Rattus norvegicus: one gene and its partner. The protein of the gene in region 1 interacts with the protein of each later gene in a biochemical or structural test. Links are inferred from orthologs where the notes say so. Each region holds a gene or a part of one and is shown on either strand. Other genes may lie near its edges.

Region 1 (7,780 bases):
GGAAAGACCTTGAAGACTGGTGGCTGGCTATCAGAGGTGAGATCCAGATCCAGGCGTTCAAGGCTCACACGTGGCACCTTCCTCATGAGGCCACTTACTTCTCCCTCACCAGAGCGGGACCTATTAGTATATCTTGTCATGAGCTCACATGCATCCCTACCACACCAATCCTGTACCCCCTGCTACTTCAATGGGTTGCCATACTTACCGCTTCATGCCTGATACATGTGGCTCTGCACTTGAGTAGGGATCATCTGCTCAGAAAACAAAAGAGTTGGCAGAAAAGACAAAGACAGGGAGGGTACTTACCAAGCCCAATTTCCTAGGCAAAGCTACCTACCTGTCCCAAAGCCATAGCCCTCTTGTACTTCCATGGGCTAAAGACAGAAGAACAGAACATGTACCATCAGCAGGGATATAAGTAAACCCCCATGGCCCTCATTCCCTCTCCTTGGTTCCTCTACCCAGCTCACCTGGCTACTACCAGAACCTTGCTTGCTTAGGGGGCCTGGGGCTCTTGGAGGAGCCATGGGCCCAGGACCCGTGGAGTTTGTACCAGGACGCTCAGCCACAATCTTACCTGAAGAAAAGAGAAACCCCATTAGGCACAATACTGCTTTGAATGCTCCCATGGTTGAGCAAAAAAAAAAAAAAAAAAAAAAAAAAAGCAAAGGACTAAGTAACCTACCAAAGGCTTCAGCACTCTTGGTCCAGGCATTGAGATCCCACTGAAACTTCATCTCACCATGAGGCTCCACAGGATCCACAATCATTTTGAGGGCCCGATGCAGCTGGAAATAAATCTAATGGGGCAAAAATGTAGCACATAAGCATAGTTGGCAACTTACAGGATCCCAAGGTGCTGAGGGGCCACCTAGCTGAATAATGAAGGCCACCACTACACACCAGCTTCTTAGAGAGCAAGAGGGCTGTATTGTTATCACTCTCCAAAGCCCAAGAGGCAAAGCGCAAAATGTGTTCCTGGTGCTTCTGGATTTTGGTCATGGTCCAGTGCTGACGCTCCAGACGTTCCTGCTGACCCTCAGTCACCTTCTGCAAGTCAAGGAAAAAACAGCCTCATTAAAGAAAGCAGAGCACTAGGAAGGATCCTTCTCCACCCTGGATACTGTCATGTCAGCCACCAGCAGAAGCAGACCAATACCATTCCAGCACTAAATTTTACCTGGGCATCATTGACCAGAACTCGTCCCCGTTTATTCAGCTCCTTCATGATCTGCAGAATGGCCATCTTCACATCAACCTGCACTCGCTTCTGCACATCAGACACCTGGCGGATCCTAATGGACAAGTCAAGTCAAGCCAGAAACCTTGCCCTGGGACCCCAATAGCCCTGGCACCGGAACTTACGAGCTTCGAACCTCCTTGGTGTTTTTCTGCAGTGTGGCATGTTTGTCCCCAAGACGTTTCACCAGTGAAGCCAAGAGTTTACGTTGGTTCCTTACTGCATCTTCCAAGAATTGGTACCTGAGACCACAAAAAAAAAGTGAGCCTGCATGCAAAACTTAAGAAATGGTATCCAACAACCCCCTACGCCTTGAGACTCACTGGTGGTCCTTGTGAGCATTGAGTTGGCAGTCCCGGCAAGTGAGCGTGTCACAGCTCTCACAAAACAGCACAAGGGGTTCATGCTTGTGCACATTACAATAGACTGTTCGTTCTCCATCTCGAGTCTTAGCAGGACCTAAGAAATAGGAATTGCCCTTAGTCACCTCCAACTCAAGCAACAAAGAAAACAAACCCCTTATAACCCTATCCCAGCTTTTCCCAAAACCCTGGCCCATTTATTAAGACCTAGATCTGGAAATTTTACTCCCAAATGACCACACCAACTAACATTATAAGGAATAAAAACAAGCTTATGAAAAGACAATCTACTTACTATTTCTCAGTTATCTTTCCATCTGCCAATGAACCATTGCCAAATAAACAAGGTCCTGATGGCTCAGAGTACTTAACACCAGCACTTATTGTTAAAAATACTAATCGTATTATCAGCACCCAGGAAACAGAATGATCACAAGTTCAAGGTAAGCTTGAACTGCATATGGTGAATTAAAAAACAGACTTGTTGGACTGGAGAGATGGCTCAGCGGTTAAGAGCACTGACTGCTCTTCCAAAGGTGCTGAGTTCAATTCCCAGCAACCACAGGGTGGCTCACAACCACCAGTAATGGAGATCCGATGCCCTCTTCTAGTGTGTCTGAAGACAGCTACAGTGTACTCACATTCCTAAAATCTTAACTTGATTCTACAGTGAAATGCTCAAAAGTCCTGAGTCCCAGGACTCAGGAGGCAAAAAAGAAAAAAAACAAAGATCTGACTTTGAGACCAATCTGATTTGCAGTGAGTGAGTTACAGGCCAGATGGGCTAGTAGGAACTATATGCTGAGCTATCATCTACCTATACAAAAAAGGCCTTGTGGGTCACAACTTTAAACCTAGCGCTTGGGGAGGCAGAGGTAGGTAGAATCTCTGCATGAAGGCCACCCTGATTCCTGGCTTAGTGAGTTAAAGAACAGGATTATATACAGACCTTGCCTCAAAAATAAAAAAAAGTTCTAAGATAGCCAGGGCGTAACAGAGAAACCCAGTCTTGAAAACAAATGAACAAAAAGGGCGGGGAACATGCACATTCCAAATGCCTATTTTAATCCCAGCACTTTGGAGCTGTGGGAGGGGCATAAAATGTTCAAGGGAAAACCAGGTGGTACACACCTTTAATCCCAGGGGAGAGGCAGGCAAATCTGAGAGGCTAGCCTCCTATACAGAGTTCCAGGACAGCCAGGGCTATACACAGAAACTGTCTGGGGAGGGGTCCAAGGCTAGCCTGAGCAGTGTCTCACCAAAATAGAAAAGTATGGACTGACCTATCAGTCCCTTTTCTCCCCGATGCTATTCCAATTCAGGCTGTATTAACCAAGCCCAAACTACATACCACTAGTAAGAGCAGTCCTCTTCCTATCACTCCTGACTTCTCACACCGGCCTTACAACTGCCTTCTACTACTACCTTAACAATGTCCTTCCAAGTAGGAAGAAACTCACCATCACATCAGAGTCAGGACCAAACCCAGAAAACAAGGTATCAATCTGACCATAAGCTTTAGTTAGGAAGATGCTGAAGGCTTGCTGCTGAATTACTCCAGGACTCACCCTAAACAATGGCCTAAGAGTCTTAACTTGTCAAGAAATTCTCCCTGTTCAAAAGCCCTTTTTCAGCAGCTAAAGCCAGGTGCCAGAGAACATCCAAATCCAAGTCACTTCATCTTGCCTTCATTAGCTGCTTATGCTAATCGACCCACCACCAGGACCTACAACCTTCCCCTGGAGACTTCCAAGATGACCTTAGTTGAATCCCTAGTATTGACTTGTAGCAGGTGTTAAATAACCCTACACATCCTCTACCTGTGGCCTTTCCCTTTCCACCTAGACCTCCAAAGTCTGCTCCAGAACCAAAGCATTTTTGAGTTGTGTCAGGTTCCTAAAAAAAACACCTTGTCCCATCCTGCAAGTATGCACTTGAGTCAACCAAGAAAGGGCAGTTCCAACAGCCTTCAAATCTTCAACATACCCGTGGAGCGCACAGTGTGATCCTTGGTGTATTTCACCCGCTGGTGAGCCTCCACACAGGTCTCACACAGTGGTTCAGAGCACTCCACACAATAGCTAGTGGCTGGGGCGTTATCTTCACAGCTAGTGCAGCACTGTGAGTGAAGTAAAGGCGGGGGTTAGAACAGGCAGAACTATCCAACGGACCTCTATTTACTTCCCAGAAAACACAAACTAAATTTTACATAATGCATTCAAATCTGTACTACCCTTCCAGAGACTCAGACTGTTATGAACATACTATCCAAACTAGTTAAGCTGGTGAGATGCTTCAGAAAAGATGCCTCCCTCTCTTACAAGATATCCCAAAGGACATACCTGGTTAGCATCCTGGGAATCAGAAGAGGCCTTACTGCCACTATCACGCATAAAGTAATTCTCCACGATGTCTTTGGAGTAGCACTGTTGTTTGCACACTGGACAATCCACCACTGCCAAGACAAGAATGTGTGAAAAAACTAACTGCATGCTCACCTAAGCTATGCCCCCAACTCAAAAGTCGAGCCAGACACTCGGCTTTCTTGACTCCTACCCCACAGTCTGCATCTCGGTGTCCAGACCTGGTAACCGGCATTGCAAGCCGCCAGCACCCGTTCCCCGCCCCCTCTTAAACCAGCAGGCCTACTTAACCCTACCCGGGCCCCCATACTCTCGCACAGGCGCAGTCCCGAGCACGGGCTTCAAGGAGGGGGGAGGGGCACCTGGCCACCCAGTACTCACTAGCGCCGTCGCCCGCCGAGCCGCCATCCCCCGAATTATTAGCTGCGGCGGGTGTAGCGGGGCCAAGGCAGGCACTACAGGCCGAATGCAGACAGGGCAGCAGCCGAGGATCCCGCTCAGGCCGCAAGCGCTCGCGACACACGCCGCAGTGCTCCAAAAGCTCCTGCGCCTCGCCACCGCCCCCCGCAGGGGACGACGCGGAGGCCGAGGCCGCCGCGGCTGAAGAGGCAGCGGGGCGCTTCTCACCGCCCGCCGAGCCTTCGCCCGACCCTGGGCTACCAGAGGCCGCTGACGCGGCCGTCGCGGCCGAGGCCGCCGCAGTCGCCGCCGCCGCCGAGGCCGCCATTCACACGCCGCCGGGGGGTTGGGGGGGCCGCCCAGGGGAGGAGGGGCACCGAGCCCGCTGCGCAGGCGCAAGTGCGCTCGCCGCCAACGGCCAGGCAGCCGCCGATGCCGCGAGGCCGAGCGCCGCCACGCGTCTCCTGGGCCGACGCCCGCCGCGCCCCAGGCGCTGCCGAGATGCGGCCAAGCCGCTGGCTGCCGGCCTCTCTACAGACGACGGCGCCGCCACCCGCGCCGCCTCCTCCCTTGCTGCTGAGACTCGCGCCGCAAGAATTGCGAACAACCGCCCGACCGCGCGCCGCTCGCAGAAAGAGCCGCGGCCTGGAGGCGGGACAGAAATATCTGGCGCCGACGACGTCGCGCACGCGCGTTGGGCACCGCAGCCTGGGGGCGGGGCGCAGGCAGATTACGCACGCGCCAGGGCCCTCCCTTCTACTCGCAGCCGCCCCTCTAGGTCCAGGATAGCAAGACTACCGGTAGGAAATTCACCCGCGGAGTACGTGCGTGATGTCTCCCATGCCCACCGTACAGTGCACCGAGGCTTATTCCTCGCGTGCTGGAAAGCGCGAGTCGTGCAGAACCGTACCTTAGGCCCCGCCTCCTTAGCAGGCGTGGCGACGTCCGCAGCCGCAGCTTGGCCTATAGTCCGCGAAGAGGGGCGGGACAATCCGAAGAGGGCGGAGCCACGGCTGAGCACAGAGACCGAGCCCAGGTGGAGGGGGTGAGGGGGTCTTTGGCAGGAAGTTCCCGCCGAGCGTGGAGGCGGTCTTAACCCAAACTTTTTTTATTGTTAAACTCGGGAAGCGAAAAGTTGTCCAAGTCAAACCGCAGATCACAGAGAGGTACTGAGAAACCATTCTGTAAAATTCTGCCCAGTCTTTCGAAAGCCTCTTCTGTTTTAGTCCTCTGCTATTCTGGTTTTAGTGGGTTTTTTGGAGGTGGAAGAACTGAACATCTAACGCGAAGGAATAAAAGTTGGATCTGAGTGATGAATCTCATCTGAGGGAGAAATAAGACCTGGGGAATAATCTTGCATGAGGAGCAGGACCTTGGCTGAAGAATTTGATTTAAGGAAAAGAATAGCAGGATCAAGAGCGGTGAAGCGGTTCATCTCAGATGCAGGATCAGTGTTAAAAAGGCAACCTGTACCCCTTGCCATTCTACTGCCGTGCTGAGTGGATGCCTCTGCAGCCTTGCAGTGTACTGGGTACGGTCTGGGTCTGGGCTAGAGTGAGTTGCCCACAAGCAACTCTAGGGTTCTCAACAAGAGTCTACCTCCTCCGTGCAGAACCAGGTGTTCACCCACGTGGCAGCGGAGAGGCGAGGAGTGTCCCGCCACTGTCCCGGGTGTGGCCTTTGTTCCCAATCAAGCTGGGGGCCCAAGGTTTTGCCCCGCCCCAGCCTTTGTTCCTATCTCGGCAGTTCTGCGTTCACCATTCGGCGGGCCACGCCCCCACCAGACCCAGCCTCTGGACTCTCACTTCTACCTCTGAAAAGGATAGTATAATCTGGAAGCTGAGTGCGGGCTTCCCGTAGAAATATTTGCGAATATTTTCACGGCCCCACGGACTGCTGGGGCCAGACTCACCAGGGTAGGGTGCCTGTGAGCCAAGCCTACCTAAACCCCGGGAGCAGACTTTAGGATACCAGAGACACAAGGTCAAAGAAAATAAGGGATGGGGACTGGAAATTTGAATGAGTGGCAGAACGCTTGCTTGCCTAGCCTGTACAAAGCCCTAAACTGTATCCTCAGCACACCCGAACCACCACGGCAAAAGGTGGGAGAGAGCGGCGATAGAGGCAAAGAGGTGGCTCATGAACACAGGCACTACCTGCCACAAGACCCACAAAGTAGAAGCAAAGAACCAACCCCCTCAGATTGTCCGGACTCCATGCTCAATCTGAGGCACATGCGTGTGTATTCAGTACACATTTAACAGATGTAATTTAATTTTTTGTTTCTTTTGGGGCTTGTTTGTTTGTTTTTCAAGGCGGTTTCTTTGTGTAACAGCCTCGGCTATCCTGGAATTCACTCTGTAGACTCAGCTAGCCAATTTACAGGGATCTACCTGCCTCTGCCTCCTGGGTGCTGGATTAAAGGCACGCACCACCATGCCTAGTGAAATTTAAAAAATAAATATACGGGGTTGGGGATTTGGCTCAGTGGTAGAGCGCTTGCCTAGGAAGCGCAAGGTCCTGGGTTCGGTCCCCAGCCCCAGAAAAAAGAGAAAAAACAAAAAAAACAAAAAATAAATATACATAGATATTGGTAGAAAACTATCCAGACACTGTCCCCAAACAGGAAAGAGAATGTAGACAGAAACAGGTGCTAAACTCTGAGGCAGGACAGACAGATGCAGGTACTTGTAGAAGAGTATGAGTCCAAGTATATATAGCCTGTGCTACATAGTGAAGTCAAACTGGACACATACTCTGCCACAACAACCAGTAATAATAATACTAATAATGTACTAGACATTACTAACTTACTCCTGGTGGCAAGGGGTTAGAGAAATGGCTTAGAGTTTAAGAGCACTTGTTGCTCTTGCAGAGAGCAAGATTTGGTTCCATCATTTACATGGTAGCAAACAACTATAGTTCCAGGAGACCTGACATCCTCTTGTGACCTATGGGTACCAAGCACACTTGTTAGCATTCCTTCTAGGCTCTGCCCCACAGTTACCTGGCAACAGCCAGGTATGCCTGGCTTATGATAAAAGGGGCTGTTTGCCCCTTCCTCTCTATCTTACTCTTATTCTCTCTGACTTCCTTCTCTCCCTGACCCCTTTCCCCCTCTCTCCCCTTCCCCCTGCTCCCCTTTTCTCCACGTGTTCCCGGGGCCAGCCTCCTCTCCTCCTCCTCTTCCGCTTCTTCCTCTTCTTTGTTCTCCCCTCCTCCTCCCTCCCCCCCTCTCTCCCCCCTCCCTTCCCAACTCCCCTTCCCATGCCCTAAATAATAACCTCTATTCCATATTATACCTATCGTATGCCTGGTACCTCGGGGGAAGAAATGCCTCCCACCTCACCATACCTCCTCGATCTATCTAACATATTCCTGCCCCCCCCCCTCATAAATTACAACATATGTGG
Region 2 (7,324 bases), on another chromosome or scaffold:
TAGATATACAATATTAATTGTAATCACTGTTATACAATAGATCGTCTAAACATCGTTCTCCCTCAGATTATATGTGTCTGCTCACTAGCTTCTCCCCAATCTTATTCTACCCCATTATATGAGAATTAATTGTTAATAACTGAGAGCTGTCACATGAACACTATTAAATTCTACTGTGTCATTTCTAAGACAGCCACGTCTACTTACAGATCATCTCTGACTTCTTTTTCTATATGAGACCATATAGATATAGCCCACAAATCCTAAAATATTCACTGTTATGACCCTGTACAGAAAGTGTGTTCTGTTAAAATTAACTGTCCTTCAAGATGTAGCTGTCAAAAAGTTGAGTGGAGTTTAATGGTTGAAATAAGTGTGAGGAGGGGTCTTACTGGAATTTCTGTTTGACATCTTCCCTTTATGGGCATGTGTGTGGTATGTGCAGGTGTAGGTGTACATGCCACAGGTGCTGGCTAGAAGTAGACTTGGGTATTTATCATTGTTCTCTCCACTCTGTGGAGGCAGAGTATCCTACTACTAGACTGTCCAGCTGGAGTCCTGTTTCTGCCTCCTGCACGAAGGAGTTACAGCACTGGGCCTCAGTTTACAGTGGGAAGTCTTCCCTCTGAGCTGGTCTCTCCAGCCCTTCACTTTTTTTCTGTGTTGCTAGGAATTAATTGATCTCTGCATCCTCCCATGCCTCTAGCCTTTTAAGTCTTCATAGAATGGAAAATTAGGTCACTACACCAAACTCAACTGGTTTCCTATGGTCTACAACTCTAAGATTAGGTGAATTTTTTTTTTTACTTTTTCAGCCTCTCTGCCTCTACCTCCGAGGGCTGGGATTAAAGGTGTGTGCCACCAACACCACACAGGGGATTTTTTTTTTTTTTTTTTAAAGAAATTTAAACTTTTGATCTAAACTTTTTGAACAGAATAGCCCAACATGGTTGGTTTCTTAAAATCCTTTAGGATATTTAGACTTGACCTATCTTTTTGATTTGGAATAACTAACCATACCTTATAAACTCTAAGCTATTTGATTTATAGAAGACTTTTTAGACTCAGTTTATATAAGGCAAGGTTTTCATTAAAAGTTTTTAGAGGGGCTGGAGAGATGGCTCAGTGGTTAAGAGCACCAACTGCTCTTCCGGAGGTCCTGAGTTCAAATCCCAGCAACCACATGGTGGCTCACAACCATCCATAATGAGATCTGATGCCCTCTTCTTTGTGTCTGAAGACAGCTTCGGTGTACTTATATATAATTAATAAATCTTTAAAAAAAGTTTTTAGAATTTTTAGACTTTATAGAATATTTTTAGCTATTTCTTAGTGGGATTACAGGCATGTGCTACTCAGTCCAGCCTCCTGAATGTTTTCTGTCTGCATTAAATGGAGAGCACAAATCAGACAGAAACCATCATATGTGCACTAACTTCAGTTTTTGCTTAATACAACCAGAAAGATTACATACACCCTTGTGACTAGCTTGCTTTGTTCATGTGTGTCATGGACTATTTTTTAGTTCAGTGCATGAGAGCCCCCTCATTCTCTCAGTGGCTGAATATCCCACTGTATGGATGTACTTACTATACAACTAGTTTCCATACTGATGCACACTCATTTGTGTTTAGCTTTTGCTAACATTATGATGGGTTAAAGCCTTAATGTAAGGAAACAGATAGTGAAAGCTACTTTTAAGAAAAAAGAAACTTCCTTGTCACAGTCCTTTAACTAAATGAAATTGAATAAAAACTCTATTAAAAGTTAGGAGGAAGAGAAGCTGGAGAGGAGAGATGGCTCAGCAGTCAAGAGCACTGGCAGCTCTTCCAAAGGACCTGGGTTCAGTTGCTAGCATCCACATGGCAGCTCACAACTGTTTATATAACTCCAGTTCCAGGGGACCTGACACCCTCACACAGACATACATGCAGGCAAAATATCAATGCACATATACATAAATAAATAATAAATAAATGTATATATTTAAAAAGTTGGGAGGACCAAAATTGATACTTTTTCTCTGATCTTTTTGCCATGTGTATATCTGAATTCTTTGTTTTTAAAGAAGAAACAGCATTGAAGCATTATTTGGGGGGAAAAACACACACACAAAATCCAGCAACTCAGCATTCATGAGCAGCTCTGTTCTATACCAGTATGTGCCTGTGCAGTGGAAGGAAAGCAATTTTGGTAAGGAATTAAAACTTCAGCTTTAAACTCCCAGCAGGTTGATATTTATCAATGATGACTCAAAAAGAAAGTTTTAAATAATATATTGACAGCCATTTTTTTTTAGTTGTGAAGTCACCATACCTTTAATATCTGTAATTTCAGTGTAAAGTTTCCCCCTTTTTCCTTAAAGAAAAACAATCTGAATTTGCAGCCAACAAAATTTAGATGTACCTAAGGTATGTATTTCTTCTGACTAACATTATTAAGTCATCCACTATGATGTGTTTATGGGTCACCTAATCTTGTACTTTAAGAGGCCAAGTTCAGTAACTGCTGAGTTTTCATACAGTAACAATCTTTTTCTAGGGACCATCCATTTAGATGTGTTAAAATGTTCATGTATTTTGGTTATTACAGTACGTACATGGGGGCTATTGTTAGTACCTAGGGATAACTGATATGCATCTTTCATTAATGTAAACTTTTTTCTGCCTTTTGCATTATATAGGAAATATATCCCGGACAGTTCCAGCCATCTCTGTGTCACAAATTCATAGCTTTGTCAGATAAGGAAGGAAAACTACTTCGAAATTATACTCAAAATATAGATACCTTGGAGCAGGTTGCAGGAATCCAAAGGATCATTCAGTGTCATGGTTAGTAAAAGTCACAGTGGCTTTCTGTAGGGTGCTTATTGTAATAGAATATTCATGCTTGGAAAGAAGCTATCTAGTAACGAGATTAAGCATTAATTGTTTAATCTTGAATGTACAAAAATAGAGGAGGATAAAAAAATAAAGGCCTCAGATGTGGTGGGTATATATTTTGATAACAAGTTTTAGGCTAGCCTTGACTACAAGACACAAGCAAGCTAAGGTAACTCAATTGGAATCTTCTAGCTGCAGCTTTAAGCACTTGCAGAGTTGTGTTATTACAAATAGTTTTGGAGGATGAGGACTACATGTACATATATTAGTATGTAACTGTATCCATGTATTATATTCCTTACAAGACTTTGCAGGAGAATCCAGGTTAAAGTTGTCATGGTGAGGCTGGAGAGACGGCTCAGCAGTTAGGAGCATTAAGAGCACTGACTGCTCTCCCAGGCATCCTGTGTTCAATCCCCAGTTACCCACAGGATGGTTCACAACTATCTATATATGAGCTGATTCCCTCTTCTGACATGTAGCTGTGCGTGCAGATACAGCAGTCGTTATACATAAAATTTTAGTAAGTCTTCATGGAGTAAGCCACAAAGTCTTTCAATAAAAGTTATATATTGGTTGTTTTAGGTTCCTTTGCAACAGCATCTTGCCTGATTTGTAAATACAAAGTTGATTGTGAAGCTGTTCGTGGAGATATTTTTAATCAGGTAATTTAATTCATCTCACTTCATTCACTTTTGGTTGTATCCTCATCTTTTCCTCTCTTGTGAGAAGTACGTGCTGTACGGAGTGTGTTAGAAATTCTGGTGTAAATAGGCCATCTTTCTCTACCTTAAGTAGAAGATCCCTTTGCACGGAGGATGTTAGAGCACACCACTTGAAAGCTGAGGGCAGGGGATTGATTGAGAGAGCAGGCTAACCTGAGCTGGATAGAGTAGAAGTTTTTATGTTGCTCCATTGGTAGAATGGCTGCTTAGCATTTGTAGTCCTGGGATTGCTCTCTAGTACCAATAAATCTGGTGTGTGGGCACATGCCTGAAATCCTAACATTTAGGTAATTGGGAGTTGAAGGTCATGGTCACCTACAAACAAGTTTGAGGCCAGCCCTCATTACATGAGACCCTTTCTCAACCAACCAACCTAAAATCCTCCATAATACACTTAACTACCTCCTTATAATCTAGGCCCAAAACTGGAGGCTTGGTTATAAGTTGCAGGGAATACCTCTGCATTAGTCATTTAAAACACTTTAGGGCTAGAGAGATGGCTCAGTGGTTAAGAGCACTGACTGCTCTTCCAGAGGTCCTGAGCTCCAATCCCAGCAACCACATGGTGGCTCACAACCATCTCTAATGAGATCTGATGCCCTCTTCTGGTGTGTCTGAAGACAGCTACAGTATACTTAGAAATAATAAATCTTAAAAAAAATTCAAAATGATAGTGAAGTATTTATTAAAGGAATATATAGCAACACATCCAGAAATATGTCCTGTGTGTTTAACTAAAATCATGTCTAATCCAGAAAAAAAAAGTATATTCCAATGGAGTCATTTTTACAAACATTTTGAAAAGGTCTTATGTGCATGCTTTTCTATGCTCTTTGCATATTTATAGTGTTTTGTGTGTGCAGTGGGGAAATAGCATGTATTTATAGTGTTTTTTGTGTGCACAGTGGGGAAATAGCACGTGTGGAGACGGGAGACAGAGGGTGAGAGATCAGGCTGTGGTGGTCAGAGGATCAACCTGGGAGTCAGTTCTCAATTTCTACCTGGGAGTTAAATTTGGTTGTCAGTTTGGTGGAAAGTGTCCTTACCTGGTGGACTCATCACCCCAGCCCCACCCTGGCTCCACAGCAGCATACTATCAAATTTATGACTGCACAGCTTTTGTTTCTGGGAATTTTGCCAACTGCTAACCTGGGCTACTACTTCGCTCTCAATGTTTTGTGCAGGTAGTTCCTCGGTGTCCTAGGTGCCCAGCTGATGAGCCACTTGCCATCATGAAGCCAGAGATTGTCTTCTTTGGTGAAAACTTACCAGAACAGTTTCATAGAGCCATGAAGTATGACAAAGATGAAGTTGACCTCCTCATTGTTATTGGGTCTTCTCTGAAAGTAAGACCAGTAGCACTAATTCCAAGTAAGTTGGTTTAGGGGACAGTTCTGCGTGCTGAGTTGTGGATCTGTGTAAGATGTGACTGTTTTTATTTAGAGAATAGTTGGAAGGTCTAACCTGTACTTTTTAGGTGATCTTCATAAAGTGACATTTTGATATGGGAATGGGGCTACGAAGACAGAACTAACATCAAATTTTAATTGTTCATATAAAATCAAAGCAAAACTATGTGACTCATGCTTTTTAGTAGTATGTATATTAAAGTCAGCTTCAATTAATTCCATGTTTATTTTTATGTTTGGGTGTTTTGTCTGCATGTGTGCCTACTTTGGCCAGACAAGAATGTTAAGAGTGTACCCTTCCACCCAAAGTGGTTCTCAACCTTCCTAATGATTCAGTCCTTTAGTACAATTCATGTTATAACCTCTAGTGATAAAATTAGTTTTGTTACTTAATAACTGTAATTTTGCTAGTTATAAATCACAATGTAAATGTTTTTTTCTGATGGTCTTCGGCAACCCCTGTGAAAGGCTTATTTAACCCCCAAAGGAGTTTTAACCCACAGTTTGTGACCCACCGCTCTAGAATATGTATAGTATCTCCCCACTGTGCACACAAAAACACTATAAATACATGCTATTTCCCCACTGCACACACAAAACACTATAAATATGCAAAGAGCATATTCATCAGTCCATCTCTGGGACACACCATCTACACACACAGTTCTCATCACACAGTCAAGAGCACCATTCTTGAGAGGATCCAGGATGAGTTCCTCACATCCAAATAAGTTTGTCTCCAGTTTATAGGGGATCTGTTGCTCCATTTGGCCAAGTACTCGAATTGTACATGCACATGTATGGAGTATAGAGACACATAGTGCACCTTCCCCTATACACACATAGACACACTTTTTTTTTTGGTTCTTTTTTTTTTCAGGAGCTGGGGACCGAACCCAGGGCCTTGCGCTTCCTAGGCAAGCGCTCTACCACTGAGCTAAATCCCCAACCCCGACACACTCTACTTCTTGAGACAAGATCTCACTACACTTGGCACTGGGACATCTATGTAGACTAGGTTAGCCCTAGAGAATAGAGAATGCCTGTTCAGTCTCTCCTGAGTGATGGGATCAAAGGCATGTGCTACTGCTCCCAGCTAATCTTCGGTAGCCAGGAGTGGTGGTATATACCTGTCTGTAAACCATGTGGTATAGGGTAAAGGCAGGAGAGTCAGGAGTTCAAACAATAGCTTCTACTTAGCAAATTTTGGGGCCAGCCTGGGATATATATTAAAAAAAAGTTTATTCCTTAACAGTTGTAGCTCCACAAGGGTATTTGCTTATGTCCAGGAACATAGCCTATTGGCTAACATAATCCCAAAAGGTGATTTTTCCTTTTTTTTAATTGAAACTACCCCTCCATGTCCAAGTTTCTGTCATTCTTGATGTCTTGAAATGCATAAGGGTCCACCTGCCTTCTTTACGAAGTGTTAAAGCCGTGAGCCTCCAGGACTACTAGCTAGACTTTATTTTTTTAAGCTAATTCAGAGGATCTTGTTGATTAAAAATTTAAGCTCTCTGAACTTGAACATCTGTCTAATGAGCCTGAGACAGGATTGCCATAAAGTTTAAGGCCACAGAATAGCACAGCCTCAGTGGGAGAAAAGTACATGGTTATTGAGAGGAAATTGCTTCTGAAAATGTAAAATGCATCCCTGTTGACCCTTTTGTTGTTGTTGAGACAAGGTCTCATTGGGATTCCAGTGTTGGGATAAGGGAGTTGTCATTACATTTCTCTCCATTTTCTAACTTACCTTTTTACCTTTTTTTTTTAGGTTCTATACCCCATGAAGTGCCTCAAATATTAATAAATAGGGAACCTCTGCCTCATCTACATTTTGATGTAGAGCTTCTTGGAGACTGCGATGTCATAATTAATGAGTTGTGTCATAGGTTAGGTGGCGAGTATGCCAAACTTTGTTGTAACCCTGTAAAGCTTTCAGAAATTACTGAAAAACCTCCACGAACACAAAAGGAATTGGTTCATTTATCAGAGTTGCCACCAACACCTCTTCATATTTCAGAAGACTCAAGTTCACCTGAAAGAACTGTACCACAAGACTCTTCTGTGATTGCTACACTTGTAGACCAAACAATAAAGAACAAAGTTGACGATTTAGAAGTATCTGAACCAAAAAGTTGTGTGGAAGAAAAATCACAGGAAGTACAGACTTATAGGAATGTTGAGAGCATTAATGTGGAAAACCCAGATTTCAAGGCTGTTGGTTCCAGTACTGGAGACAAAAATGAAAGAACTTCTGTTGCAGAAACAGTGAGAAAATGCTGGCCTAATAGACTTGCAAAGGAGC

Evidence for each region.
Region 2: of the proteins of Trim28 (region 1) and Sirt1, one has a biochemical effect on the other in vitro, tested with the Homo sapiens proteins (2 studies listed by BioGRID). The link is inferred for Rattus norvegicus from reciprocal best matches to the Homo sapiens genes TRIM28 and SIRT1.

Annotation. Positions count from the first base shown.
Region 1 is NC_086019.1:82,722,093-82,729,872, reverse strand, and holds the start of Trim28 (transcription intermediary factor 1-beta), read right to left. Parts: upstream 4,979-7,780; 5' UTR 4,696-4,978; coding exon 4,350-4,695; intron 4,061-4,349; coding exon 3,948-4,060; intron 3,725-3,947; coding exon 3,592-3,724; intron 1,703-3,591; coding exon 1,567-1,702; intron 1,486-1,566; coding exon 1,369-1,485; intron 1,299-1,368; coding exon 1,184-1,298; intron 1,054-1,183; coding exon 907-1,053; intron 804-906; coding exon 689-803; intron 581-688; coding exon 474-580; intron 378-473; coding exon 341-377; intron 255-340; coding exon 209-254; intron 121-208; coding exon 1-120. UniProt on the Homo sapiens protein: Nuclear corepressor for KRAB domain-containing zinc finger proteins (KRAB-ZFPs).
Region 2 is NC_086038.1:25,317,107-25,324,430, forward strand, and holds part of Sirt1 (NAD-dependent protein deacetylase sirtuin-1), read left to right. Parts: intron 1-2,068; exon of another isoform or gene 2,069-2,160; coding exon of another isoform or gene 2,161-2,193; intron 2,194-2,683; coding exon 2,684-2,831; intron 2,832-3,467; coding exon 3,468-3,547; intron 3,548-4,791; coding exon 4,792-4,978; intron 4,979-6,790; coding exon 6,791-7,324. UniProt on the Homo sapiens protein: NAD-dependent protein deacetylase that links transcriptional regulation directly to intracellular energetics and participates in the coordination of several separated cellular functions such as cell cycle, response to DNA damage, metabolism, apoptosis and autophagy.